Astyanax mexicanus: one gene and its partners. The protein of the gene in region 4 purifies or fractionates together with the protein of the main gene of each other region. This does not show direct contact. Links are inferred from orthologs where the notes say so. Each region holds a gene or a part of one and is shown on either strand. Other genes may lie near its edges.

Region 1 (7,097 bases), on a different chromosome or scaffold from region 4:
CTAAAGCATGATTACCGTAGCCTTTGGACATTGCCTGTGTGATGTCACATCATTATTTATTTATTTAACTTATATACTGGTTCTAAATTGCTGTCATTCCACTTTTGTCCTCTTATATATATAACCTGACCACAATTAACTGTTGTGGCTGACTGAGTCTGAACACTCTGAGCTGTTGTGGCATGCAAGAAACACTGTGGGCTGTTCTGGCATTTTGATATAGGATTGTTGAGTTGCTCCACTTAAGTTATCCTTGTATTTTGCGGGTTAGGGGCTAGATAGCACACACATATGGGAGGGGCTTAGATTGTCTCCACATTCCTTAATCACAGGACACTTCTTATCACTGGCACTGGCCAGCTCCGCCTTCCAGAGCCTGGGAAGTCATGCAACATAAATGAGGGAGGGCAAGCTGGATATCATCTTTGGCACTTCCAGGAGTCAGCCAGGCAAAGCTTTGAGCAAGGCAGAGGTCTGAGCCCAGTGTGGAGTAAAAAAAAAAACAATAAATGGGATGGGATAGAATGGAATTAAATGAAGGAAAGATTCTCTTCAGCTGCTTAGTAAGTAATGATGTTTATAATATTTGTAATAGACATTAGCAATGCTAATAAAAGTTAATTTTATTTACATTGTGCCTTGATAGTTCCGAAGGCCATTTGCAGTCAATAAATCGATAATAGAACAAGTGTTTTATTTAGACTTAGAGCAATGCTTGTGTGAAACACACAGATCCAAGCTTTTGTGTTAATTATGGTTATTGGCTCAACTGAATTAAGTTATTACTAATGGATGACAAAAGATTATCTATTTCAGATTTCTATTAATGAGCTCTCCTACTTCTATATCTGTTCTCCTCATGAAGGGGGCATGAAATTGGACTGGAATAATGGGAAATGTTGTTCGTGGAGCTGTGGCCTTCATTCCATCAGACCGGTGTCAGCAGTATTTGGTGGGGGACTTGAAGGAGATGCCCCATGACTGTACTGTGGATCTGAGCAGTCGTCAGCTGCGGCGCTTCCCCATTAGAGCTTGTGCCTTTAGAGAACTTGTTAAACTTTACCTTAGTGATAACCACCTGAGCAGTCTGCCACCTGAGCTCCACAACCTACAAAAACTACAACTTCTAGCGCTGGACTTCAACTGCTTTGAGGAGCTGCCATCAGTTGTTTGCAGCCTTCGGCAGCTCAATATCCTCTACCTCGGGAATAACAGACTGTACAAACTGCCAAAAGAGCTGGCCAAGCTTTCCGAACTAAAGACACTGTGGTTGGAGACCAACTGCTTTATAACATTTCCAAGTGTTGTGTGTAAACTTCCCAACCTGAAAACCCTACATCTGGGATACAATCAGTTTCGTAGTTTGCCTGGTGAGTTGGTCAGGTTGGATGAGCTGCGGAGTATTTGGCTGGCAGGAAACTTGCTGAATGAATTTCCGCCAGTGCTTCTAGAAATGCATTATTTGGAAGTGATTGATGTAGATAGAAACCGCATTCGGCAATTTCCAGCACTCACTCAACTAAGAGGACTGAAGCTGGTCATTTATGACCACAACCCTTGCGTTAATGCACCCTTAGTAGGGGAGGGTGTGAGACGGGTTGGACGCTGGGCTGACTGCTCTGAAGAGGAAGATGATGAAGCTGAAGGAAAAGTCACTGAGGCGTCCCTAGAGGTGAGATGTCAGCTTCCAGAGACAGAGTGATATGAACACTACAAATTGTGGAATATATACTTATTTATACTATCCCACAGTATAATTTACATGTAGCAAGACACTGAACAGTAACACTTAAGTGTTGGTATTTTAAAATGTTGTTAAATTTTGTCTGGAAGCATAAAAAAGCACAATGACACCAAGAGACAACTGCAGATTTAACTGTATTAAATAAAGTAAAAATACTAAATATGTTGTTGAGTTTCTCTTCCTTACACTGTCTTTACCTTTCTATTCTTAGGAACAAATAATCACCAAGACCTTCATCTGAAATCTCTGTAATTCTCTTGATCCAGATAATTTATTACAATAATGGATTGTTACATTTCTACAATGTACCTCATCTTCTTAATAATGCATGTTTCATGTGACAGATTTGGGTCTTCATTTTGATGTAAGACCGTTAATAGACTTTCATCATCATTCTTGCTGCTCCTGGTCTGTGGTAGAGCAAAGTGTTTTGCAGACTGTGGTTCTCTGCACAGGTCACACATACACTCATATTGGTCTCTCTGTGGTATGTAATTTATTTTAATAATGTGAATGATGAATTGTACGTGTAGATTTTTTATCCATTTAAAATGTCAGAATCCATACCATATTAATAATATGTTGAAGAGTACATTTCTTTTGAAAATTCTAGCTCAGGGCCAGCGTTTGCTGGTAGCTGGGTGTTAGATGGTTTAAGCGGGTATTCTTTATGGTTAAAAAGATGATTATTCTGACATAAACATACCCTATGCTGTGAATGTTGCTTTTGATTTTGGTCACGCTGGTTATGCTGGTTGCCGTGTGTGGTCTTGTTGGTCCTTCTGGAGGTTTGAACTGTAACAGTGTAACAGTACACAGTAATATACAGAATAAAAAATAACATCTGCAGTAGAATAAATATCAAAGAACATTACTGTGCAAAAGGAGTAACAATGCAACAGGTTGTCAAATATAAATAATCACATTAACAGTGCAAGGATGCAGGTAAATAGCTGTGGCATGCAGAAGCTTTTGTCCATACACAGGCTTCTGCCCAGGCATAGACTTCTGCCCATTCATACTCTTCTGCTCATTCACAGTCTTCTTTCCAGCCCTGGGCTGCTGCCCATTCACAGGTTTCTGCCCATTCATAGGCTTTAGCTTGGGCATATGCTTCTTCCCAGGTTTCTGCCCTTTCATCAATTTCTGCCCAGCCACAGGCTTCTGCCCTGTCCCAGGCTTGTGTCCATTCACAGCCTTCTGTTGAGCCCCAGGCTTCTGTCAATTCAAAGGCTTCTGGCACAGCCACAGATTTCTGTCTTTTCACGTTTTTGCTCAGACACAGGCTTCTGCCCAGCCCCAGGCTTCTGCCCTTTCACAGGCTTCTTCCCATACCTAGGCTTCTGCTCATTTACAGGCTTCTGCTGAAGTACAGGTTTCTCCCTAGAAGCCCTAGGGTTTCTGCCCTTTCACAAGTTTTTGCTCTGGCACAGGCTTCTGCCCATTCCCAGGCTTCTGTCCATTCACAGGCTTCTGCTGAAGCACAGGTTTCTCCCTAAGGTACCGGTTTCTTCCTAAGTACAGGATTCTGCCCATTCACAGGCTTTTGGACACTTATTTGCCCATTTACAGGCTTTTTTCCCTGGCACAGGCTTCTGCCCAGCCCCAGGTTTCCGCCCACTCACAGGCTTCTGCCCATTCACAGATTTATGTTTTTATATAAAACAAACTTTAACTTTAACAAACACATTCGTTTAAATTAAGCAAATCACAGTATAGTATATTAAGTACAGTATATATATATATATATATATATATATATATATATATATATATATATATATATATATATATATATAGTACATCATATATGTAAACATGTATAAACATTTTTAAAGCACTGTAGATGACATGTTTCATCGTGTCATGTATTTAAAAAAAGAAGCACTGATCACAACTGGAACACACACACACGACATGTTACAATTTTTTTGAAAGAAGGGGTCTTTTATTTTGTAGTAAAGAAAACATTTTCACCGACACCGACACGCAAAAAATATGTATTATTAAATGAATTACAGATGAATAAGTAATAAAATAAATCACATGTACCCATATTTTGTCTATGTAGACTAAAAACTAAGCGATTTGGAAAAGAGGAATTAGCTAAGAAGTGTCTCACCAGTCTTGTGGCGGTTAGCATGCAGGCTAACTAGAGCATTTAGGAGAAATGTAATCGTGCAAGTTAGTTAGGTGGGTGCAATTAAAGTAAACAAAATAGATTGGTGTGTTATATCTTCTTTATTAAAATTAAAGGGCTTCAGAAAATAAACTGTACGTTGGGGTTGGGTCTTTTAATATAAAGCGTGTGTCAGTGGAGCGCCGCTGGCTTCACACAGCCTGCCTGACGATCATTTTGTCGCTAGCTGGGCTCCATTATCACTGTCAGTTATGGGAAAGAAAACCCGGACGGGGACGGGCCGCCGGACCATTCTACAGCTTTCTCCGCCCGGACCTCGCAGTGGACTCGGCGCAGGGAGAGACGAAGGGTTAGGTTCTGGGTCGGAAGGTGAGAAAACATTATTTATTTATACGAATCGTTTCCACAGGCCCAGTAAACGCAGCCTCGTGTTGGCTATGTTTCTGAGTAAGCTGGATTTAAAGAGTTGTGTGCGATGCGGCCTCACCCAGACTCGGAGGTGGGTAACCCAGGTCCGGAAAGTAGAAATCCATCCCAGGGTTTAGTGCCAACTGCCTAAGCAACTTTGCTGCAGTTTAGCAGTTTGTACGAGGCAACTGGTACAAAGCCTGGGATGGATTTTTACCTTCTGGACCTGGGTTAACCACCCCTGCCCAGACTACACAGAGAGACGCAGCTAACAGCGTTGGCTTTGAACGGAGAATAATTTGGCAAGTAAGTAGCTTTGGGTATCTAAAATAACTGGATAATCGAGACAGGACCTTGATTAGCTAGGTTATATAGCTAATACCACTAAAATATTCTACATTTACAGTGAAAAGGATAGGTAACCTACGTTTATTTACCCTAAACAGACAGCTTTAGCTAGCTAACAGCTAGGCTAGGCTAAATACCAGTTACTAACATTATGGTAGGTTAGTTCTCGTATGATTGTCAAAGCAGCTTACCAACAAGTAGGGTTAGTTAACTAATTTACAGTTGCTACAATAAGACACAAACAAATTTATCTGCTTAAACATGAAATACTCCTAATATTTCCAGTAAACGACTTCTTAAAACCTGTGTGAATAACTGTGTGGTAGCTAGGTAGTTAGCATTAGCTGGCTAATGTTAGCATGAAAGCGATTCTGGTTTCTAACAAAAGACGGTTTTAAATGTATCCGGTTTTCAGCAAATCACAAAGCTGGCTAAATTTATTTCCCAAAATGCATTTATTTAAATCTAGCCTAGCGTAACCATTACAGTCTAAAGGATATTGAAAAACTACAGGATACAGTCGTATGAATAACATAAAATGTCTCATTATGTATATAAGTTACAGCTTTGGACAAAATAAAAGACCACTTAAAATGACGGGTTTCTTTGTTTTTACCAAATTGAAAAAACACTCTGGAATATAATCAAGAGGAAGATTGATGATCACAGGCCATCAAGCCAAGCTGATCTGCTTGAAATTTTGCACCAGGAGTGGCCTAAATTTACCCAAAAGCAGTGTGTAAGCCTGGTGGATAAGAACATGCCAAGATGCATAAAAACTGTGATTAAAACCAGGGTTATTCCACCAAATATGGATTTCTGAACTCTAAAGACGTTATAATACAATATAATATAATCTAATATAATATAAATGTTTTCTTTGCATTACTTTAGGTCTGAAAGCTCTGCATCTTTTTTGTTATTTCAGCCATTTCTCATTTTCTGCAAATAAATGCTCTATTTTTATTTGAAATTTTGGATGAAATCTTGTCCGTAGTTTATAGAATAAAACAACAATGTTTTCTTATTTTCTTTTCAGAGCTGTGTATATGTATATATATACACATGTCTGTCTGCCTGTATATATATATATATATATATATATATATATATATATATATATATATATATATATATATATATATATATTGAAATTATAAAAATATTTATTATTCAGATATATGTAAAAATAGTTTGCTAGAGAGAGGCAGTAAATATCTAGGCAATCTACAGGATTTGACACAATGTTATTTTATGTCAGTTTACGTAAGCAAACATTAAGGGGAAAATATAAAATAAGGTTTCTTTGAGATCCCTGAAAGATTAAGTGTGAATGACCAAGAAAAAAAAAAAACAAGGTTATTAATTTGTAATAATTAGTTTCCTCAATGTTATAAATTGTTATCTTAACTAAAGTGTCTTCTCTAAACTGATGGAATGATTAATTCGATCAATAGACTGGATTCTGAAATTGAAGGAAAAATCTATTTTTAAAAATGCATGTTTTATTTTTCCCCCCTTATATTTTCAGACATGCCTATGCTTATTTCAGGAGAACTTTCTGTCTTGTGTTAAAACTTTGTTTAAAAGTTGCGGAATAAATTGGTACATTTGCTTCTAACATTGGGGTCTAACTGTGGCTGGTTGTGCAGCGCCTTTATCCAGTAGTGGTATATAAGTGGTGCACCTTAAGAAATGTATCCTTGTTGTAATCCTTACCTCATACAATTAATGCTGTTAAGACAGTGTGTTTATCATGCAAAATTGTTTCTTGTTTAAGAATGGTGGTTTATTATATTATAAGTTTTATTGAGAAACACTTTATCATACACCTAAAGAGTTAATGGATTTACAAATAAGTTTCGGTATTTTTGATGAATGCCAGTATTAGATGTGCCAAAAGTCCATTATTTTTGCAAAAAAATATAAATCCTGTTATAAATATTCATCATTGATGATGATAATTTGTTTTCTTTAATGCAGAGGAGCCAGAGGGTAACGCTGACAGCCATAGAGAAGTAAACATAGAAATGAAGCCTCCTGCTGTAAAGGCAACCCGTAAGTGAAGCATCTATTAAAGTCTAATACTGTGAAAACTTACTGGGATTTAAATATTCATAATTAAAATAATATGGTGCATGTTTCCTTTATCACAGTAGACATTGTGTTAGTATGAAGTGAAGTTCATTAGGTTTGTTTTGCAGAGGGCTTGTCCTTGCTGGGTGCCTACGAGGACAGTGATGAGGAAGATGCTTCTGAAACCATTTCCACAACAAAGGGCAAGCACAATCGGCCTGCAGATATTGACAGTACCCTAGCTAGTTTCATGGCTGTGAGTATACTCATATTATTGTCTGCTTTGTTTTTTGATACAGTATTTCAGTAGTATTCTTTTGTGTCGAGAGGCTTTCGCCTTTTCTTATCTTACTGTAATTATAGTGGAACAGGTGTGGTTTG
Region 2 (7,263 bases), on a different chromosome or scaffold from region 4:
ATATGGCAAATGTGTGGAACTTTGACATTATGTGTACCTTTCCAGGCAGACTGACCCACTAACCTCTCTTTCAGGATTCCAGAGAAGCCATTATGCTCACTGACAAACTTGCAAATGCCCACATCCACTTCACTGAGACCATACTTCATCATGTCAGCAAAGCTCTCTCCTTCTCCATCACATTCTTCCAGAGCCTCCTCTTCTTCCTCCCCTTCCAGCTCCTCTTTATCATCTTCTGTCCGCTTAGTGGCATGGCTGCCATTTGCTTCATCCTGAACTTTGACTCTTTTAGCAATGTGCTCTGAATCCTCTTCTGGGCATGTCCGCTTCTCTCCAACATGAACTGGCTCTGCCAAGGGCTCCTTGTCCTCCATTGGCACAAAGCTGATATCATAGTAAAAAAAGGAAGAGAAATAAGGAAAGGCAGAGTTATACTGCAGGCTGTTGATTCCACAGTGTGAGATCTAACTACACTGAGTTACTTACTGAGTGGAGGTAAACGAGAAAAACTAGGAGAGAAATCTCTTTGTTGTGTTCAGATGATTTAAGCCTTGCTGAGAGATAACAGAAACACTTTCTTGCAGGATGAAAAGAGAGCAGTTCTGTAGAATAGAAAAGAGACATACATGTACATATATAATAAAGCTGTGTAGCACAGTGAGCACTAGCTGGCTGATTCATCCTGCCAGACCCTAAGGCTAAGTTTTAACCGAATTACTTTAAGGCTTGACAGTCCCTATACATTTTTGGGGGGTTAACAAATATTAAGCACCTATTTCACAAATGGATGTCCAACAAATTACCAGTAAGTAAATAAGGTACAGTATGGTATTGTACAATACCCAGAAATTGGTTATGCCATGGAGGGTTAACATTCTTAATCAGCTTAAACAGACCATGTTGGTTTTTTAAAGCAGTGTAGTATTTTCCTTCCCTTTTTTACCCATTAAAATTTCTTGTCTCGTATACAGGCTACAGGTGTAGATGATACAAAACCCTTTTTTCTTCTAAAATCTCCAACAGTACACTTGGAGAAGCTGTCTATTTTCTCTCTACTCCACTTAATAATTCCATATCAGTAACAGGAATCAACACAAATTTTGCATGATTGAAAATAAATGTAAAAACTACACAAACAAATATTGATTTTAAAATGAAGTTCAGGAAAGAGCCAATTATTTTGACATTAGCAGATTTACTTATTATTATTTTTATATATTTTCTATTACAATTACAATTATAATATTTAGTAATGTTCCTTATCAAACACAAGCTTTTTATGTAATGCTTGAATAGAAACCCTTAAGATTTAGTGGCTTAATTTTAGGCAGACAATTGACAAAAAAGCTTGGCCTGTTAAGGGGTTAAAGGGGTGGGAATTTAATGCCGTCAATCATTAATGTGGTGAGGTTACCGGAGTATGTTAGCAGAACAATCTCCACACTCTGTTACTTCCACTGTGGAAAAAAACAACTGTTATGCTAATCAGAAGAATACAGGTAAATGGTAATTGCTAGCCACTATTTAATAAAAAATAACTATCAAGCAGTGCTGGAGGGAGTCCGGCACATTCTTAAACTGAGCGGCTAGTCCGTTTCTGATTTTCCGCTGTGAGTTATGTTAGGGTTAACTGACTGTATCCGCACTGTGCCGCTGTGAATGCTATGCTATTAATATACGTTTACCGGATAATAATTTAATATAGCTAACCCAGCTAGATAACTGAGGTGTATGTGAGTGAATCTGATAATAGTATAGCGCCCACCTTCTCCAGCCCAGTCCTGATAGCCGCCGTGCTGCTCTAAACATCAAACCACGTGTCCACGTGCCCGCTCTCCTCCGGAAGTGTTTACTGGGTTAAGCTCCGCCTGCGCGCTTGTTTTTCCCTTTTTATTTATTCGGTAATCACAAAAATCACACATTTTATCAAACAAAAAGAGTATCGGTTTACAAAATATACTCTTTTATACAATATAACGTACAGTGCCAGTTAAAAGTTGGGACACACCTCTTTTCATTTTCATGTCTTTTCTTTCTTTTTATGTTTTTTTTACATTGTAAATGTAATATTGAAGACTATATTCAAGCTATACAGGAACACGTGAGATTAATTTGTAAACCAAATGACCCTTATATGACCCCATATGACCCTTAATTGTTTAATGTCTTTAATGTAGAAAATAAATATATAAATAAAGAAAAACAATGAATGAGAAGGTATGTACAGACTTTAGACTGGTACTGTATAAACACATAAAAATATAATTCTATAACACTCACAATCTTCTGCGTATTGTTAGCTTTTTGGGTATAAAGGAAGTTAAGCAGGCAATCATGCAGCAATTTTAAATGGGTGCTAAACTGTTTCAAATAACCCTTAGAGGTTATTCCGGTTTTGTGTAAATTACATTTTCCCAGCATCACTTTAGCACCTAGAAACGTTACATAATTTTTAGTGATCTATCTGTATAATTATATCTGTAATAAAAACATAATTTGTAATGTTTTTGCATAAAATGTTTGATTTAGATTTTAATGAAAATAAAAAGGGGCCCAAAAATAAACGTTTTATTCTTCAACATTATGAAAAGTATAGATGTAAAAGAGGTAATCTCACCCAAACGCCACAAGCAAAGAGAAAACAATACATTGGAGGAGCCTACACAATTCCGTGTGTACATGAATGGGTTAAAACGTCCAACGCTCTTGGATGTTAATGTTAAAATCTGGCTAAAATATTGTCCAGCAGATGGTGCTGTGGCTCTGAGCCAATGCATGTTGTTCATTATTCAAATCCCCTTCTTAAAGCAGGACCAGGGACACAGGCCTGTGTTGTTTGCGTGTGAATTATCGAAATAACCTTTTTTACATATGTGTATAGAAGTCCATCATTTGTAGCAAGCATTGTTTATAAAGCGTTTTGTGTATTATCATCAAATTATTATGTATGCATTGCGCAGTTATGCATATTATACAGTTAGAATGATTTAGTAAAAAAATGTGCACAGTCCCATGTTGATTAAACTCTGTGGGGTGGATTAGGCAGATGTAAGGACCGAAGGTCGAATATATGAACAGATGGGTGGATAAAAAGGGACTGTGTGTGAATGTTAACTGCTATCCGGATTTTTTTTAGCCCCTCCGATGTCTGCATAGACTATATGTATTCTCACACATGACAACAAATATTATTACCACAAAACTCGGCCTGCAGTTGTGTCTTAGGCAGATATGTAAATTAATAGGTGTGCTCTGATTACACTGGGTCCTGCCAGAAGAGGGTGTAAAATTGCTTTTTTTAGGAAGTGTTCCTCTTTGTGACTGCTAACCATGCCTATATGATGCACTCAATGAAACTTTGCGCAGTTGACAGACATTGAGAGAAAACACCTTACTGGACTGAGAGAAGGTGTTAACGATTGCCTCACCTTTTGTTTGCAGTTGTGTCATGAACTACAAACCTGAAATTCTTACAAGCTGGAACCGTATTCATCTTCAGTGAATAATCCAGGTTCTGTTTGGGATTTGATAGTGGTCCGGTTTGTGTATGCTGGAACGACACACTGCCCCAACTGCTGGTGTGGTAATCTGGAGAGCCTTCGCACAGGACAGTTGGTCACCCATAGTGCACTGCAGATTATTATTATTACCACAAAACTCGGCCTGCAGTCCTGTTTTAGGCATATATATAAATTAATAGGTGTGCTCTGATTCCACACTGGGTCTTGCCAGAAGGGTGTAAAATTGCTTTTCTCACTACCACATTGAAAGGCTGTGTGAGTGGCTTTTTTGGGGAAGTGCACCTCTTCGTGAGAGATTGTTGACTGCATGCCTATACAATGCATTCAAAGATACTTTGCCCAGTTGACAGACTTGGAGAGGGAACACCTCACTTGACTGAGAGAAGTAGGGTGGTTGTTTTGTTGGCAAGCTATTGCACACAGTTGTTCACCCCTAGTAGTGATACTAATAGCTTAACCATATATTCAGTACATCCTGTGGCTACATGTGCAGAATTACCTAAAATATGTTTTGATCACCTACATATATCATCCCATATCATACATTCACAAATAGGAAGTTTAATATAATTCTAACAGTTCTTCTCGGAGAATATATATATTATTTTTTTGTCAGTACGTGTATATTTAGATGTTCCTTGTGTTTTAAATGTGCTTTACAGGCTCGTGCGGGAGTGAATCCATCCTGTGTAGCTTCTCAGTGAAGGATGGATGAGGATGCGCGTGCACGCGCGGCTCCTCCCACTCTCCTAGACAGCGGGAGCGCGCCTCCATCCTCCAGCCGCGCTGGAGAGAGAACCGGGCTGCCGCTGCTGGCGCTGAGGCGAGGAGGATAAACACCATGAGCTCCAGAAAGGGTACACTAAACACTATAGACTATTTAAATTCACGCAGACATCTGCTCGTTTCGGCGGGGCTTCTGAAAACCTCGCGTCCAGCCCTGCTGTCGCGTTGCGTGACCTTTTTTTGGATATTGTTGTTGTGTGTTAATGTACGATGCTTTCTTTCCACGGTCAGCTAACCTAGCTCTCTGTCTCATCGAGCCCCTCTGTTTTCCCTCTGTTCTCTTTCTGGCGTCCCTCCCCCCGGTGCTGCCTGCCCTCCGTCTCCTGCTTGCTCTCCTCCAGTGATGGCTATCCAGGCTCGGAAGAGGAGGCCGAAGGGGAAGAAAGACAAGGCGGCTCACCACCGGAGGTAAGTAAGCAGGGGCGTGGGTCGTAGGGGCAGCTCTCGGAGTTTGTATCTGTGTGTATATAGAGTGTATAGGTTGCTTCTATGGGCTGGTAGCATTGAGGTAACGTTAGCTCGCTGCTGTTACTGATGCGGGCTCTCAGCGCGTGAGCACAACACGCGACCGTTACGGGGGGAGGTTAGCTAGCTAGTGTTGACAGCAGCCCCGGCGAGGGGCGGCGTGTGGACGGTACTGATGACTGACCGTAACGCTATATAGCTAGTTCTCACCAACCATATAACACATACACACACACACACACACACATAGTCACAGATATGCAGCTTTTGAGGGCTGAAACAGGCTGAATGAGCGGGGTTCAAATCGTTGCTAACATTAGCTAACGATAAATGTTGATTGAATACAGCGCTGTTTCACTGTGCAATCTGCCCAGCGAGTCGCGAGTTGCTAATGGCAACGGCCCGAGCTAAAGCGTCGCCTCGCGCTTCCTCGCTGTGCTCGAGTTTGCATGGACTAGCTTACTAGTCACATTTATGGCAATTTAGTTATGTAAGAGCACACACATGTACGCGCGCGCGCACATACACAGTGTAATATATGTGTTACATATTTTAACATTAATTTGTTTAACCAGAGCTACGTTATTACAGATATCTACTATTATTGCATGCCTAAACATTTTATCAAATTAATATAACGCTGTTTATATTAGCTTAGAATAAAAACCTATTTGAGACACTTTGGATTCCATTGCCCTTCAGTTGTATAGAAGCTCCAATTCAACATATCTGCTATTCATTATTTCTGATCATCTGAAATAAAACAACATTTTAGTCATCAAAATTGTCCTTCTTTTACTAGTAAGGCTGTAAATGCAGATATCTTGAATTGCCATTTCAAATATACAAAATGTAATTGATACCAGATACTAGAGTAAAAACTCTATTATGTATATCTAGCATTCAATTGTGAACAGTCAGACTTTAATCTTGTATGTGTGTGTGTGTGTGAGTGAAAGGGGGTGGATTATGAGCTAGCTATGAAGATGGTGTGTGTGTGTTGTGGGCTGGATTGAGGGAGATGTGGCTGGATGATGTGACAGATGTGGAGCTGATGCTTTTGGGGGCGTGGGCGTGCTGCTAGCGCTGGGTTCAGGGTAGAGGGGAGATGTTGGTGTGTTTAGTGTGTGTGAGAACTCCGTGTAAGAAACGTGGGCGTTTAGAGGAGATATTAGCCGGTGTTTTAAGCGGTGGTCGCTGAGCGGAGCGCGGTGCAGCGGTGGGACTAATGCTGAGCGGTTGGCTGGGTTGAGTGACAGCGGCTTCATGGCGCCACGCGATTGGCGCGACGTCACCGCCAGCCGTTTGGTGATTCCCGGGCTGTAGCCGCGAGCCGAAGAATATGCTGGAAAAGCCAGCGTGCTTTTCTAATGCAAGACACCTCCATGTGTCTCACACTGCGAGCCTTGCATGGCGCGATGGGATGCTATCCATGATGCCTCGCACGAGCACTGTTAATACAGTAGCAACAAGATAATAATATTCTCAATGCATACTGCATGTTTTGTTTTTATATATTTCATATGTGGAACAGACTTAATGTCCCTATAGTAGGGGTGTACTAATACACGTTTTTAGGTTAAATATAGTGTATGGAATAATCTTATTTTATATTGTGAGGGATGCATCAATAGTGAAATTATAATGTGGTGCCAATATCCAACATTTTTCACAAACTTATTTACATTTGTCGATATAGACATTGAAAGCTCTTATGTTTGTGACTCTTAAATGTTTCAGATCATCAAACAAATGTAAACATTAGTCAAAAGCCCTATCCAGGTGGGATTAGTTTCTCAGGGGGACTTCTACTCAGTGATAAAACTCTTGCATCTGGACTGCAATTGAAAAGCAGGAGGACCAGTGAGTGGCATTGCGTTCAGTAGCCCCTCCATTTCCACTCGCTGTTGTGTTTACGTGGATCTTCGTGTAAACGCCCAAAGTGTAATTATGGTGCATGGCAGAGGACAAAAAGCTATTTTATTAAACGGTGACGAAACTCTCAGAGCATCCAGACGGGAATAAAATTACAGTAGGTAATTCAGCTTGTAATTTTCAAGTTTTTGAATAAAGTTTTTTACTACAGGAGGAAAAACATCAAAACTACATGGCCCTGTGTGATAAAGTGTGCCCCTCCCAGTTAAAACTGAACTGTGGTTCAATTTCTCTAGCCACACCCATGCCTGATTACTGCCACACCTGTTCTCAATCAAGAAATTACTTAAATAGGACCTGCCTGGCAAAAGTGAACACATCATGCCAATATCAAAAGAAATTCAGGAACAAATGAGAAAGAATGCAATTGAGATCTATCAGTCTGGAAAAGGGTCCTCAAGGGATTTGGACCTGACAGCTGTGTAGCCTTAAAAAAACCTCATCAGTGAAGCTAGCTGGAAAAACAGCTTTTATTATGGATTCTGGAGCAATTGGAGAAGGTCATGTGGTCCAAAAAGTCTGGGGGGGCGGTGCTATGATCTAGGGTTGCTGCAGT
Region 3 (7,500 bases), on a different chromosome or scaffold from region 4:
AATACATATGTTTATTTAATATGAGATAAAATATTCCCTTATTAGTACAACAGCAGGCAAATTTTCAATATTACAGCAACACAGAGGACAGGACAAAAGTATTAGGAAATATGCATTTGTATTAATATATAAAAAATACTGGAATCTTTTTAAAAACAAAAATCTAGAGAATATAAATCTATAGACACTATATGATTGGAGGAAACATGGTTCTCCGGTATGTGTGTTGTAAGAAGTTACTAGTGATATTCCAGTTAACAGTGAATAAATTAACAGTAAATAATAGGGGATGGCATGATGGCTGCAAGTAATTAAATTTGCCTGCATTAAATTATAAGTGGTGTCTCTTTTTTTATAGAATCTTTTTTTTTGTATTGCTAGATAATTATATAAAACAAACAAAGAGTCAAACATTATTTTTAAACAGGCAAATCTGATTTGACCAGCCCTAACAGACAATCTCATTTGCAGGACTACCTTAAAATCTTCCACTTGCATTATTTTGAAAATGGGGTGTGACAGCATCGCCTTGATGTAAAGCTTTGTGGCCGTTTTGGTTCCACCAACTGTTCCATTAATGCCCTCAGTGGCCACACGCACCTGCAGGAGGAGCACAAGTTCCAGAGTAGTGTAACAGCACACTGTGACAATTCATGCACATGTGAAGATTCTCATCAGGAGGAGAGCACTGCGTTTACCTTGCCAGTGAGATGAAGTCTTGAACACAGCTCAGACTGCCAAGAACAAATCAGCTTGGGATCTCGTATTTGGCAGTAGCTGTAATACAGGAGGACTTCACCTGGACCTCTGGAAGAGGGCAACAAAACTAATATCAGCACTAGTTAAAATATGGGTTTTAAACAAGTGTCATCAGAGAGGGTGCCCTGCTTATCTAGGATTACAATGTTAACAGTAGATCCATTGAGATCTCTCAGGTACCAGTGTTTTGGATTAATTCACAGATCTTGCACGAATCCAGATCCAGACACAAATAAACAGTAATATTTTGACTAATCGATTCATATCTTTCTACTCTAATATTATTAGAATTGGCAATACTTTTGTTACATATACAGCTCTGGAAAAATTCTGCTTCTGAATCAGTTTCAATGTATAGGTATATGTTTGAGTAAAATGAACATTATTATTTAGACATCATTTCTCCCAAATTCCAAATAAAAATATTGTCATTTAGAGCATGTATTTACAGATCTCAAATAATGCAAATAAAACAAGTTCATATTCATAAAAATCAATATTTGGTGGATTAACCCTGTTTTTTAATCACAGTTTTTATGCATCTTGGCATATTCTCCTTCACCAGTTTTACACACTGCTTTTGGATAACTACAAACATTCAAGCAGTTCAGTTTGGTTTGATGGCTTGTGATCATCCATCTCCCTCTTGATTATATACCCCATACATTGCCAATGTTGGAAAAATTTGTAAGAAAAAAAACCAAAAAATTTTAATGGTCAGTAAAAAAAGAATTCTTTTCCAGTTTATTTCTGAGCATTTTTATGTGTACATTCATCATGAAATGCTAATATAAAGAATAACTCAAGAAAAACTCTTTTTTTTTGCCTAACAGTAAAATAATCATATACTAAAGGAATCTCTTACTTGCTGAGCTCCTCCTCAGAAAGATGGCTTGTGCTGGGTATCCAGGAGGCTGGATCGTCTGATTGGCTCTCATTTGGGTCTTCTTGCTTTTGAAAAGCCTCCTCGCTCTGGCTCAGCATCTGATCCAGGGCCGCAGTGGTGAGCTGCTCGATCTCTTCAGCGTGGAGGTTGGAAACATGCTTGTGGACTGAGGACGGGTCTGAAAAGGTCTCGTCACAGCACTGCCAAACCGGTGAGGTATCAGTAGGAGACGATGAGACCCTCTTAGACGCCACAAATGTTGCAAAAGTCTGAAAGTCACAGAAGACTATTGTGAGTGCAAACAACAATAAACATAGAGCAGTTTCTTAATGTAAACTTTACAAACGTAAGTTAATTCTTATTATAGTTAAACAAATATTACATTGTTCATGTATTAAGTTTGAAAATGTCAATATTTGAGATGGCAACTGAACCTCTTTACTCTCTTTGCATTTATTATGCTTCTTCCATACAAATATTAATTCTAAATAATTTCTGCATAAAAAATATGCAATGGGGGTGGGCGATATGGCCCTAAAATAATATCACAATATTTCATGGTATTTTTGTGATAACGATACCCTTGGCAATATGAAAAAACACTGAATTAAAAATATATATTTCAACATATATTTCAAACGTTTTCAACATTTATTGTACTGAAGTTTTTTTTTTTTTCAGGTCAACACTGAACCAATGCTATGTTTGTTTGTAAACAACTATATTGTAAAGAAAATTATATATACTGTGTATAATTATATAGCTTGCACCATGTTCTTGCAGTGTAAAAAATTACATAATAATAATAATAATAATAATAATAATAATAATGATTTTGTTTAAGGGGGAGGACCTTTTACTTAAAAACATTACAAACAAACTGATGCCTATGAGGCAAAACATAAGGACTAACGTTTATTTAACGTTATTTACCATCAGTGAACCAAAATATAAACAACATATGTATTAGGATATATACATTAAAAAATAATAAACTAAAAATTATTTACATCAGTTGCAGCAGAGAAGCCTTTACATGTAGACAGTGCAGATATGTTTAATAAATGTCAAATCTATGTATATGTTTTAAAATTGTGCACTGTTTTAGTGTTATGCAACCTGTGAACTGTGTAGAAAAGTGTAGACTAAATAAATATATAAAAACTATAAATTAGGAGTTTAAAAAGTGTCACATTTAGCTAACTATTACAATGTAACCTAAGCTAATAAACTTACCCTCTTCTTTATGTAGGAGTAGCACTTTCGAGTTGTTGAAATCTCGCACTTCTCATGCTTTAGAGTCCCGGCAATAAGAGTCTCCACATCCAAATGAATAAGAACAGACTCTGCCAGATCTTCACTGTCCATATTAATCTGAGTATCAGCTGATATATCTCTACACGAGGTAATACTGCAGACTACTGATCATCACACTCTAAACACACTACAGCTCCCTAAATCAACCACAGGAGCCATACAGGGGGTTATAATATAAATCCCAGGCTGTTCAGACCACAGTAAATCCTGATTAAATGATCAGAAATAAATCAGTTACTAGTTTAAGAGCTAAAACAGATAAACAAGGGTTATTATAAAACTCCTCTCTCCGCCATGCAGTTCTGCTGCTGCTGCTACTGGCGTGTCGGCAGAGCCAGAGCTGCTTTACGGAGAGACTGATCACTTCATATCACCCCCGAAATATCAGTAAACCCCTGCATGCCGCTAGAGGGAGCCAGCGAGGGAGTCCTCAATGAATAAGGGTGAATGGAGCTAAATGGCTAAAAACTCAAATTTAATTAGTAACAAACTACTCGTCTAGGATATTCCTTTATTTTAAAAGTAGAGAAAGTCTTTCACTAAAAAAATAGGAAAATATAAATAAGAAAAAATCTATCTGTATATCAGTGGATACTGTAGGCAGAACATGTTTACGAGGTCCAGACTTGAGTGCTCTGTCCAAAAAGTGACTTAAATAGAAGTTGAAGTGTTCTTTAAGCTTGTACTAAGTGGAAGTACTAAAGTTTTCAACATTTTTTGTGGAAGTACTAAAGTTTTCAACATTTTGTGTACTTAAGTGTTGCAATAATAAATAAATAAACTAAATTTTCTGTAGCTATTGCAGAAACCTGTGGAAAATTCTCAGTGTGAAAGGCAGAACAATACAGGACTCAATTTGTTCTGTGTTTCCATAAATCTCCAGTACACATGTCTGTCACACACACATCAACACAAAATCTTTATCTCAATTTTAATTGACCCTTTCATCCAGCTTCGTCTCTGTGTGTTGAGAAGTCTGACTGCCTAGTGGATGAAGCTGTTCCAGAATCTGGTTGTTGAGGCTCGGATGCTCCAGTATCTTCTGCCCCCACCTATCCCTTACAAGGATTTTCTTTTGTACATCTTTGCTTTGATGTCGTCCGGTAGAAGATACCAGAGCATCAAATGCTGTGGTTTTCCTTGGTCTGCTGGTTTGCCATCTGTTACTTAGTACACCAGTGATGACTTTCTTATACAGGAATACACCTTACAGTCAAGTTTCAATATTTTAGCTTACAAAAAATTGGGTGGGTTAAGATAAAAGGTTCTATCTTTTAAATTGTGTATCAGGTCCAAATGTAAATACCTGTTATAAAAGCTGAGATGTTGGTCTTTTGCTTCATAATCTGTTAATGTCAAACTCAAATGGTTTCAGTCTACAGCAGAAATAAAATGATTTGCCTCAGTGTTCCATTAATTTTGATGGGCACTATACGAGTAACACGTTCTTAAGTGGGTATTCTCCTCTGTGTAGACTCTCTGGTTGAGCTCCTGCCGCTCCGGAACAGTATCTAAACAGTCCCGCCCTCTTTTAGTTTTCCACGGTGGTGGCGGCTCGCTGCTGTAGCTTCTGCAAATTTTTAGCTTCGGGGCTCCAAAAAATAGGAGAATAAACCTGTAAAAATAACACAGGAGGACTTCAAACATCTGTAGACCGATAACCGAGCGCTGAAAGATGTCTAGGAGAAGGCACAGCGACGAGAACGACGGTGAGTGCGGAGTTGTGTGACGCCGTTTGCTCGGCTAGGCTGGAGTTTGTCTTATTTAGTTAGCTAACTAGCTACCTTTCAAATTTTCCGGTCCACCTTAAATAGAGCCCCAGTTGAGGTTCAGGAGTCGGGGGCTGGCTTTAGGTGTTTCGTTGCGATCGTTGCGCTGTTTAAGGTGGAATGGAGAGTTAGCTTAGCTACCTAGCTTCATGAGTTGCTGTTAGCTAGCTATTTTAGCGGTTTAGGTAGATACTCTAGCTAGGGCTAGGTTAGCTAGCTAACTAATACCCTTCTTTAAACAATGGCGCAGGGTAGTTTAACAGAGTATAGCGATTTCTGCAGGTATTATTTGGCTATTTTTTGGATATATTTTGCGTTTTCTTGGTTTAATTACTAAACTTTTAATCATTTGTACTTAAAACATGGTGTTCGAGTTGAAGCTAACGGAATAGCTAACTAGCAAGCTTAGCTAAGCTAGGTTAACGTTAGCTAGCTAATGCTAACACAGGCATGCTGTTTCACTGCCATTTCTCCTCAGGAGGCTCAGAGCTAATTTTCCAACAAAAAAGATAATTATTTAGCTGTTACCAGTATGTATACTCCACATCGTGCTCCATTTAGCTTTTTAAGTGTTTACCTAAAGCTCGTATGTCTTTGTGTAACGGTGCTATATCGTCCTCCCTCCTTTTTTTAATGAGACTAGACTCAGTGTTTATTATTCGCACAGTGAACACATTAATACATTCTATTAAACGAATGCTCGATTATTTTAAATAAAATATCTTTCGCAATAAAAACTATTTAATACTAACTTATAGCTACAGTACCAGTCAAAGGTTTATACACGCCTTCTTTTTCAGTGTTTTTCTTTATTTCTTTAACTGTTAACACCTTGACAGGCCAACATTTTTGTCATTTTGTTATTTTTGCCTGATATTACACTCCTAAATCTTAAGAATTTCTATACAAGCATTATATGAAAAGGTTTCCCGTTTGATTATTAACGTTTCTACAAATTCTAATTATACTTATAATATATATATTTTTAAATGTAAGTAAACCTGCAATTTTAACAATATAATGAATAACAATCTTGAAATTGCAACTTTCCTAAACTTCATTTTAAAACCAGTATTTCCTGAATACAGTATTTCCTGAATGTTCTCTACACCTTTCGTTTCGTTACAATTGTTTTTTTTTTTCTGTGTTCAAACCTGCAAAATTTGGATTTGATCCTGTTGCTGATCTAAAATGATTGCGTTGAGGAGAGTGTGAACAGGCAGCTTCTCCTAGTAACCTGTAGGAGTCTTCAAAGCCCTCAACGTTGTCTGAATGTGAATAATCCTATTTTACTGCAGAGAAAAGGGCTTTTGTCATCTACATTTTGTAGCCTTTATACGTTCCAAGGCCTGTAAAGGGGTTAATTAATTTTCTACAGTACATATAAATATTAAAGACATGGGAACAATTAAAGAACACATATATAGAACTCTGAATTAAACAAAACAAATAAAGTGTTTGTCCTCCACAATTCCTTAATCTAAACCCAACTAAGATGGTGATTTGGGATGAGCTGGAGTTTCCCAGTGTGAAGGAAAAGCAACAACTATTGTAAGAAACTTCCTGAGAAAATTCCAATAGTGTGCAGATCTGTTCTAAAAGCTACATAAATAAAAATATTTTATACACATGTCCCCGTATAGCTATAATGTAATATAATTAATGACTTTTTGTTAAAACACTGTTTTTATGTATGGTCTTAATACTTAAAATGTAATTTTTCTCTTGAATGATTGCACTATTGTTATCATTTTACCGGTGGCATTAGATGATCATAAAATTACAATTTTGCTACAATTTCTGAAAAGTGGTAATCATGAGAGGTCTTATTGAGCAAACTATTTGTTAAATTGAGGAAAGGGGGCCTGTTTCTAAATATTGTTATAATACTCAGTGACAGTACATTCAATTGCAGTGAGTAAGCTAAAAGGTACTTCAAAATGTGCATTGTGGTCTCTCTTCACAGTGAATGCATATGGTGGTTTTAGTGAGGATTCTGTCCTGTTCACTTCTTGCCAGCTCTCTTGGGTTCTAATTCTTTCCTTTGGTTTAATGATTAGTACATGCATTCATGAGCAGATGTAGTCTGAATTTGCAGTTATGGTGCCTCCATGTTCTCAGTAGTTCTTGTATCATCATCATTAACAAAAGTTTAACAACCACAAAAAGCTTCTGGGACCTACCAGACCACCCTGTTTTAAGAATAAATATGTGGCTTTGTAGGAATGGTATCAGAAGCACAATAATGACATTACAATATTTACAACATCACAATGTCTTCCCATTCAGGAGCACAACTACTTTCAGTTTATATCAAACAAATCTTGAGGACAGCTGCTGTTTAATATGTTAAGTTAGAGTGTATTTTGTTAGCAGATGCTCCTATCTAGGACACTGTAAAAATAGTACAAGCCAAACTACTGTAGAGTACCTGTGTGTACCTAGTGATGACCACTGACGTGGTTCTTATTTGCTACCTGTAGTATCAGTTTCTTGAATTTGTTTGATGTGGAACAAGAGTGTGTGTGAATTACCATGTTAAAATCAGTGTGTTTCTCTCTTGCAATACAGGAGGTCAGCCTCACAAAAGGAGGAGGACATCTGAGCCAATTGAAATCGAGGACCGACTAGAATCACTGATATGCAGAGTTGGAGAAAAGGTAAGACCACAGAACATTTTAATGCTCTCCTTAAAGCTGAGGATGAAATTGTCAATAAATTATAATTGTTAGCTTTTTGTCTTATCGTTACTAGAATGCTGCTCTAATA
Region 4 (8,014 bases):
CTCTCTCTCTCACAGACACACACACACACTCAGTGCTTCCCTCCACACCTGCTGGGGTCACAGAATTTTTTTTTCAGAAGAAAACTCTTCACACATTATCAACCTGTACCGACGATAAGCTGCCAGAGCAAATTATTCAAATGAGACATTTTAGTGGTACGCTGCATTAGGCAGCAAAAAAACCCTGCAAGTCTTAAAAACACACAACTGCCACAGGCAATCTGCTCACTACAGCAGTAGAAATTAAATACAACTGTTTTCAAGGATTTACACTTGGGGATGGGGCAGTGAATGTTCTATAATGCCTGGCCCATACTGCAGTTTTTTTTATCCTGACAGATGTCAAAAACGTGAGTGATCGCACACGTGAAATCATTTTTTACAGATTTTTCAGTCTTTAATTTTTGTTAGCTAGTGTTTGACCAGCCAACACCTCAGTTTTTTTTTTAATCTCACGGGAGTTTCTCATAAACTGTTATAATGTGAGAGTAAACATGGTGGATGACAGAAAAACATCACTTTGTTGAATAAATGTTTTCAACTCAGAAATAGTAATGTATACTGTTTGCTGTAAAAAAAATCTCTTTATCAAGCATAAAGTTAACACATTTTAAATCCACCCTATTCAAAAAAAAATATATGAGCATGTGTTATATTTAGGCGGCCCAGTAGAGTTAGGCTCTGTTTGGTTTAAATCCTGGGTCATGCTGCTTGGCATCAGCAGCCAGAGTCCGAGTCACCACAATTGGCTATGCTCTCTTCCCATATCACACCCAAACTGATGTATCAGAGAAGGTATGAGCGAGTCTTCACCTTCCTAGGTTTGGAGGCATTACTAGTGAAAGGGGGCGTACTAATAAGGAAATGTGGTAATTGACCTTCCAAATAGAGGTGAAAATGGAATAAAATTTGAAATAATTCGAAAAAAATAAATGATCAATAAACGATCAGGACAAACCTTACTGCTCTGGGACAAGATTAGAGGACTAAAGATTGGATTATATACTTCACATTCTACAGAATAATCTGGAAACTGTATCGAAATCGGGAGATTTTTGAGACTGTCGGGAAGAACAAATCAGCCTCAAAATTGATCTGACCATCCTGTAGTGTTGGCCAGGCATAAGATAACATTTGGGAAGTCCACAGTAATATTATACCAAAAAAAAAAAAAAAAAAGAACATGCTTAGTCCAGAAAATTAAGCTTTCAGATCAATTTAGGCTTCTTAACATGCTCTTCTATCTTGTCATCTGTTGCTGGTGTCACAACACAATAAAATATTGTTACATTGACTAGCTCTATTTAATACAGTACCTAACACGAATCACGATCACAAATCTGAAATTTAAAAGATATACTCTTATAAACTATAAAAAAGTGAAATTTCTCTATTTAATACTTCAGGTTATCTTTAAATAAAGAGTCCACAGTTAAACCTGGGTTTGTTATGAAATTCTCTGACTTTATCTCTACTGGAATGTCTTGAGCATCTTGAGCTAAACACGCTCATTAAGTCAGCAGCTGTCCTCTAAAGAGCATTTTCTTGCCGCGCTGTGATGTCGAGCCTGATTCACAGACTGGCGTTGATGGTGAGGGCCAGGCACGCTGATGAGAGCCTGTGATAAGAATTAAGCTGTCAGTCTTTTGGTCAGTCTCTCCTCAGTGAGTGGGATCCAAGCAGAATCATAAAGTCATCGAGCCATTCAAAGACTCTCTTTCACTCTCTCATTTTCTCTATCTATTTCCCTGTCTGTCTGTCTGTCCATCTGTTTATCTATATATCATATATGTATGCAGTTATATTTGTTACATTTACTGGGTCACCTGCTTAATCATTGTTTTAATAAACTGTTGATCCTGCTTTTGTTGGAGTAACTATCTCTGTTTTCCAGTGGAAGACTGTGAGTGTTCGATTACATTCACCACCCCACCTTTTCCCTAAATCCCAACTCATCCCAAAAATATTGGTTGGTGCACCATCATTCCATAGAACACCATTTCACTGTGTGAAAGCTCAATAGTGGGAGGCTTTATTCCCCTCCAGCCCCCAACAGGTATTACACATGGTGGCAAATGGCTCATGTTTATCTGCTCCATAGTAAAGGTGGGATACAATATTGTGATATATCATATAATATATTGTAAGTCGCTTTGGACAAAAGCGTCTGCCAAATATAATGTAATGTAATGTAACTATATATTTTTATTAAAGCACAGGTGCTCTAAACTCCCAAAGATTCGCCCCAATTTAACTTATTAAAGTTACTGCTTCATTACTCCATTAATTTATTATTATTATAAGTATTTTAAAGAAATTTCTTGTGATATATCCACAGAAATTTGATATCATTGTTATTGTGGGCCACATATCCTGGTAATATTGTATTATGAGAAGCCCTGTGATTCCCACACCTACTCCACTGTAACCAAATAATCAATGTTGAATTCATCTGTCATGTTATGGCTGATTAGTGTCTCTCCCACGATCTGTTTTTGTCTGTATGTCTGTCTCTGTCTGTCTCTCTAGTCATTTGTCTGTCCTTCGATCTATCTGTATTTCTCTGTGTCTGTGTGCATCTTTCTCTCTATGTGTCTGTCTGTCTCTTTCTCTATTTTGCTCTCTTTTGTGCTTCTTTCTCTCTCTTTGTCTATCTCTCCCAATTTATTTGTCTGTAAGTCTGTCATTATCCTAATGTCTGTCCTTTTATCACTCTCCCTTTCACTCAATTTGTCTGTGTGTCTTTTCCCCTCTCTCTGTTTGTGTCTCTCTCACTGTTTATCTGTCTGTCTCTCCGTGTCTGTTTCTCTCTCACTTTTACATGGTCCAAGTCTATTTCTTTCTCTTTTCTCCTTTTTCTCTACCTCTTTATGTCTATCTGTCTTTTTTGGCTTGTTCTGTGTGTGTCTCTCTCTCTCTCTCTCTTACTATGTCTCTCTTCCTCTTTATCTCTTTCTGTCTCATTTCTGTCTGTCTGTCACTCTTTCACTATGTCTCTTTCTCTGCATATGTATTTCTGTTAATCTCTCTTTACTTATGTGATTCTATGTTAATAAAATCTTTTTTATTGTCTGGCTGTATAAATTGTATAAATGTACTTGAAAAACAATGTTTCTTCTAAATGCTGGAGACAAACACACTTTCAATTGGTGAACAGGAAATGAGTATTATATCTGTTAACAACAACAACAACAGCAACAATTATTAATTGATTCATTGTGGTGAAGTAGATTATTTCAGTGGTTAGTATAAACAGTGCGTTATTACATGCTATTCTAAACCAGGAGGAAGCAAATACTGGAGAAAGTACAAAAACGAATACATATGAACACATTTAACATAATTCATTGGTTTTTTTTTTTTTTTTTTAAGAAGAACAGTCACAGTTTAACAGCACTGTATATTTCTCTTCACCCTCACACATGCGGTCAGTGCTAAACCAGAGATAACCCGAGCGAGTTAATAATATAAAACATTTCACAGACAGTAACTAACTTCCCAGCAGCTCCAGTGAAGGCGCGTCTCTTACCATTTTCTTCTCTTGGGTTTGGGATTCATTCAGTCCGTGCAGAGAGCGCTGGGTGGTGTGGTGTCGGCTGTGGAGCGCAGGTGAGAGAGTGAAGAGAGAGAGAGATGTGTGGTTCAGGTGAGGAGGAATGCGGCTCCAGCGGGCAGCGGCGGAGTGGGGAGCTCGCGCGCTCCTGGAGCCGCACTGTTCCGTGGGGACGAGCCGGGAGCGTTTTCTCTGCAACAGCGCTCTCTAGTGTGCGCGCGCCACCAGCGCTGCTGCACTTCACCACTGAACACACCACAAGAAGTAAGGAAACTTGTGTTTGGTATATTATTTTAAAAATAAATCTTATACCCTGGGAAAGCCTGCTAATTTCTCTTTTAAAAGGAGCCAATTTTGTAGGGAGCATGAATTTCAGAGCTGAGTATGTGGATTGCATAAATCTTCTCCAACATTGCCAAATAGCTTGTTCTGCCTGTAATATTAATTCTTGTTTTGAGCTTCTGGTACCCCCAGGTGCTGCCTGTGAGATGTCAGTGGTCAGTCAGTAAGTGTCTGCTTCATGAATCTGCATCATCCCACATTTGAATAATTTGGATCTGAATAGGGTCCATACGACAGGGCAACTTCTGTTCCGTAAAATCAAGGTGCGGCTTTATTTGGAATTGAGCCCTCGTACCACTGAAGGCCAAGATTCCTATAACGGGGGTGTCAGAGACAGGCAATGGCAGAGAGGATTTGGCTATTTTTTTCATGGGTGCAACCCATTTACTCAGCTTTGCTGCTTATCCCCCAAATGCCATTTAGAGGCTTCTGAATAGACTTACAACCCCTGACGTAGAGTTTGGCTTATTATGTAACCATCCCTGCATATATGTAGGCAACAATATATGTATATTCATTTTGCTTTGCATGCTAATCGTATATTTCAACATTGAAGGTGCTACACTAGCATTTTTTATATTCATTAGCATTCTTAGTTAAACTCAGTAACTCATAAAGTAGCACATTACAATATACTAACTCTAGCCTGAAATATTATAATATAGTAAAATACATATCTATGTGTATTTCAAACTACATCATTATTACTGTCACCTTCCCAAAATTACAGCTAAGTCCCAGCATTAAAAAAATAATAAAATGTATCTATGACTTAGTCACTCAAATATATATATATATATATATATATATATATATATATATATATATATATATATATATATATATATATATATATATTCTTTTTTTTTCATTGCACTGAATATCAAAAGCTTAATCTAGTGGAAGACACGTCCTACTCTATTCTGTTGTGATTAATTTTATTATATATTTTTTGTTTTATAATACCGACTTTAATTAATTTAATAAGACTCTTTTCGGATGTTTTCTGTGTGAATGGCTAGCCTAGCCTCGCCTTGTGTCGGGTGTTGATGACGATACTGTAATGGCCGCTCTCACGGTGTGTTGCGGGGTCTATGCGTTACTCCGGTAAAGAGAGAATCACTGATCGGCGCTTTCTTTCTTTATTCCCCGGTTAGATTTCCTCACGGAGGGGGAGAGGCCGGGTAGCCCCACATCGAGCCCCAGTCTCCGCGGCGCTGTGTTGTGAAAGGTGACCGACTGTGTTTTAAGCGCGTGTTTGCTGAGAGTTCTCGTTATTGTTGTTGGCCGCGGCGAGTCGGTGCGAGTCAGGGACGCCGCCGGGCAGCAGTGAGACGAAACGGGACGAGCCCTGCGGCCAGTCGCGGTTATTCTGCAGGGCGGGTGTAGTTTCGGGGGTTGGTGTCGGTCCGGGTCCATGAGCTCGGCTGTAGCGGGGTTTGGGCCGCTCTCTGTCGGGCCTGCTGCTCCTGCTGCTGCGCGGCCACCGGCGGAGCGACGCCTCCTCCTCATTGGCAAATAGGCGAAGCTAAGCTACGCTAGCCAGCTGTAGTCGGCGAGCTAGAAAATTGTCCTTTCGCTCGACCATCTCATGAGTCTCTTGCCGTTATTCCGAGCAGGTAACCTCATTCCAAATTACTTACTAAACTACAATTACATTAACTCTGTATGTTACGAAGTGTGCACGGTGTGAAGCAAGGCCGTTACGGGTGCGGAGACCTCGCTAGCTAACCTAGCTTAGCTAGCCAGTATGCTAAGCTAACAGGCTGTTAAACGGTAACGTTAACATAGCTAACTACTTAACCTAGCTAACGTTAGCTAGTAGGCTATCGTCATTAGCATTAGCATCGCCTTGGGTTGTGTTTATCCCTCCTCGGTGTTAGATTAGCTAACAGCTAACTAACTAGCTAAACAATTAACCGAACTAGTTAACCCAACTATTAGGGCTACACATTTAGCTATATTTTTTTGACAACAAGCACAGTAAACGATATTAAATTAATATAAAACAATGTAAGGGTAGTTAACCTAGCTACATATGACTAATAGTAACGTATATACAGTACAGAAATAATAACATTAATAGTGGATGTAGTTAGAGGTTACGTAACCCTAGTTGCAAGATTATGTGCTAATGCATAGCTAGCTTACATAGTTACATAAATACGTACTCACATATTAACCGTTTTATTAGTATTTTGTTTTTTAGATGACTGTTTAATAGGTTATAGTGTTCATCTTTATTTCTCTATTTTTTATTTATTTATATAAAACCTGAACGTTACAAGTGTAAAATTCAGTATATATGCATGTGTATATTCCCAAACATTTACTTGTTAGGTAGTTTACACTAATAGTCTAAATAAGTCTGCAAGGGTATTTTATTTTTGTATTTTTCGTATTCAGAACAATGTAGGACTAATATAGCTACCTAAGCTAACTGCTTTTCTGTATGTTTAAAACTGTGAAGCATAAAGTATCAATGGTAAAAACGCAATTCTGAGACAAAGTTCCCTGGGGTTAATACATTTTTAACTAAGCATTTTCTTAACAGTCACTTCACTTAATTTAATTAATTGTTTCTTATTAAAGGGAAAGGATAGATTGTTTCACTAAAGGAGTGGTCAAGAAAACAGATTCTATATTTTTATTTTTTAAGGAGGAAACAAAAAAAACTAATAAAACAAAGAGAATAGTTGTTAAACTGAAGGATTTATTAAATGAATAGAGCAAATTGTGGAACTAAGGGGAATGCTTTACTAAATTGACAGAACAATTTATTTTATTGCCAAAAAAAAAATAAGGGAAACATTTGTGTTCTTAAATATTTAGTTTTAACCTTGATCATTTTTTCTGGTCCTGTGGAAACCTTTTCAATCAGAATGTGCTCAGTATTGGAATTTAGGCCTGTTAAGGCCTGTTTTTGAAGACTAAGCCACACTTAGATTTGGTCAGAGTTACCAACCGCTGTCAAGGTTGGTGTTGTACCAGTCCTTGGCTAACAGTTCTGAAAGGCTTCTGAAAACCAAAACTGTGTTAAAGGATATTTACAACCCCTTACGTAGAATTTAGCTTAATATGTATCCAGAAAACCATCCTGGCATGTACTTAAGCAGCAATATATGTTCATATTTTGCTTTGCATGCTAATCATGTAAATATGAATGTTTTTGATTACAGATTGAGTGCTGATGGACACCCCTGAGAGCCCCACACAGTCTCCACAGTCTCCAGAGGAGGAGGAGAAAGGTCTGTCAGACAGTGAGCTGCTGGAATCTCCAGAGTCCCCTACTGAGGGGAACAATGAAGTGTCTGACAGTGAGTTACTAAACGATGAGGAAGGAGGAGGAGGAGGGGGAGAGTCAGACATTGATGATGAAGACAAGGTTGATTTGGGTGGGAGAGCTCCAGGAGAAATATCTGACCAAGACGATGACAAGGTAGACGGGATCGCGGGGAAAGATGTACACCAGCAGGAGAAGTCAGGAACCATTCTGAAAGGTGGGCAACACATGAGCAGATCTCCAGAGCGGGAAGAAGAAGAGGAGATCTTGGAAACCCCTAGGTCACCAGACCCTGAATCACCAGAGCCCGTACATCAACAACCCTTCACCCTTGCTGAAGAAGAGCGTGGGGAAGCCAGCCAAGAAGAAGAAGAGGAGGGAGAGAAGACCACTGGCTTAGGCATGAGTCGTCCAGAGTTGGAGGAGGAGGATGAAGAGGAAAGGACACAAAGGAGGGTAATGGCAGTCAGTGATCTAAAAGATGAAAACTCTTCTGTCTCCAGAGAGCTGGATGAGCATGAGCTGGACTATGATGAAGAAGTGCCTGAGGAACCAAATATTGGTGTTCCAGAGGAGGATGACATGGAGAAGGGTCCTGGTGCTGAGGACGGTGAAGCGAATGAGGAGGAAAAAGACAACAAAGAGGAGGGGAAGAGGAAAAGAAGTGAAAGGAACCCTATCCTCCCCCCAGACCAGGGCAACTCTGATCTTAAGAAATCTGAAGAGACAAAAGGCCAAGAAAGAGGCAGGAGGGATTCCTTTCGTGATAAAAAGAAAGATGAAGATGATGGCGAGATTGATGAAGGAGAAATTGATGTAAGTACTCTTACCATAAT

The links.
Region 1: the proteins of zc3h18 (region 4) and fnbp4 purify together in Homo sapiens (affinity purification with mass spectrometry; 3 studies listed by BioGRID and IntAct, counting the BioPlex papers as one, with this or other methods). This does not show direct contact. The link is inferred for Astyanax mexicanus from reciprocal best matches to the Homo sapiens genes ZC3H18 and FNBP4.
Region 2: the proteins of zc3h18 (region 4) and srpk2 purify together in Homo sapiens (affinity purification with mass spectrometry; 3 studies listed by BioGRID and IntAct, with this or other methods). This does not show direct contact. The link is inferred for Astyanax mexicanus from reciprocal best matches to the Homo sapiens genes ZC3H18 and SRPK2.
Region 3: the proteins of zc3h18 (region 4) and nuclear cap-binding protein subunit 1 purify together in Homo sapiens (co-immunoprecipitation; 3 studies listed by BioGRID and IntAct, with this or other methods). This does not show direct contact. The link is inferred for Astyanax mexicanus from reciprocal best matches to the Homo sapiens genes ZC3H18 and NCBP1.

Annotation. Positions count from the first base shown.
Region 1 is NC_064409.1:54,396,729-54,403,825, forward strand, and holds the start of fnbp4 (formin-binding protein 4), read left to right. Parts: upstream 1-4,077; 5' UTR 4,078-4,135; coding exon 4,136-4,253; intron 4,254-4,469; exon of another isoform or gene 4,470-4,598; intron 4,599-6,623; coding exon 6,624-6,698; intron 6,699-6,844; coding exon 6,845-6,972; intron 6,973-7,097. Other genes in the region: lrrc10 (leucine-rich repeat-containing protein 10), read left to right, coding at 890-1,702.
Region 2 is NC_064409.1:52,788,246-52,795,508, reverse strand, and holds the start of srpk2 (SRSF protein kinase 2), read left to right. Parts: upstream 1-4,240; 5' UTR 4,241-4,362; coding exon 4,363-4,378; intron 4,379-4,648; coding exon 4,649-4,715; intron 4,716-7,263. Other genes in the region: pus7 (pseudouridylate synthase 7 homolog), read right to left, coding at 64-374. UniProt on the Homo sapiens protein: Serine/arginine-rich protein-specific kinase which specifically phosphorylates its substrates at serine residues located in regions rich in arginine/serine dipeptides, known as RS domains and is involved in the phosphorylation of SR splicing factors and the regulation of splicing.
Region 3 is NC_064409.1:65,453,153-65,460,652, reverse strand, and holds the start of nuclear cap-binding protein subunit 1, read left to right. Parts: upstream 1-4,481; 5' UTR 4,482-4,637; coding exon 4,638-4,671; intron 4,672-7,302; coding exon 7,303-7,391; intron 7,392-7,500. Other genes in the region: thiosulfate sulfurtransferase/rhodanese-like domain-containing protein 2, read right to left, coding at 478-600, 699-807, 1,625-1,914, 2,882-3,013. UniProt on the Homo sapiens protein: Component of the cap-binding complex (CBC), which binds cotranscriptionally to the 5'-cap of pre-mRNAs and is involved in various processes such as pre-mRNA splicing, translation regulation, nonsense-mediated mRNA decay, RNA-mediated gene silencing (RNAi) by microRNAs (miRNAs) and mRNA export.
Region 4 is NC_064416.1:22,225,486-22,233,499, reverse strand, and holds the start of zc3h18 (zinc finger CCCH domain-containing protein 18), read left to right. Parts: upstream 1-4,996; 5' UTR 4,997-5,126; intron 5,127-5,383; exon of another isoform or gene 5,384-5,514; intron 5,515-7,074; 5' UTR 7,075-7,085; coding exon 7,086-7,994; intron 7,995-8,014.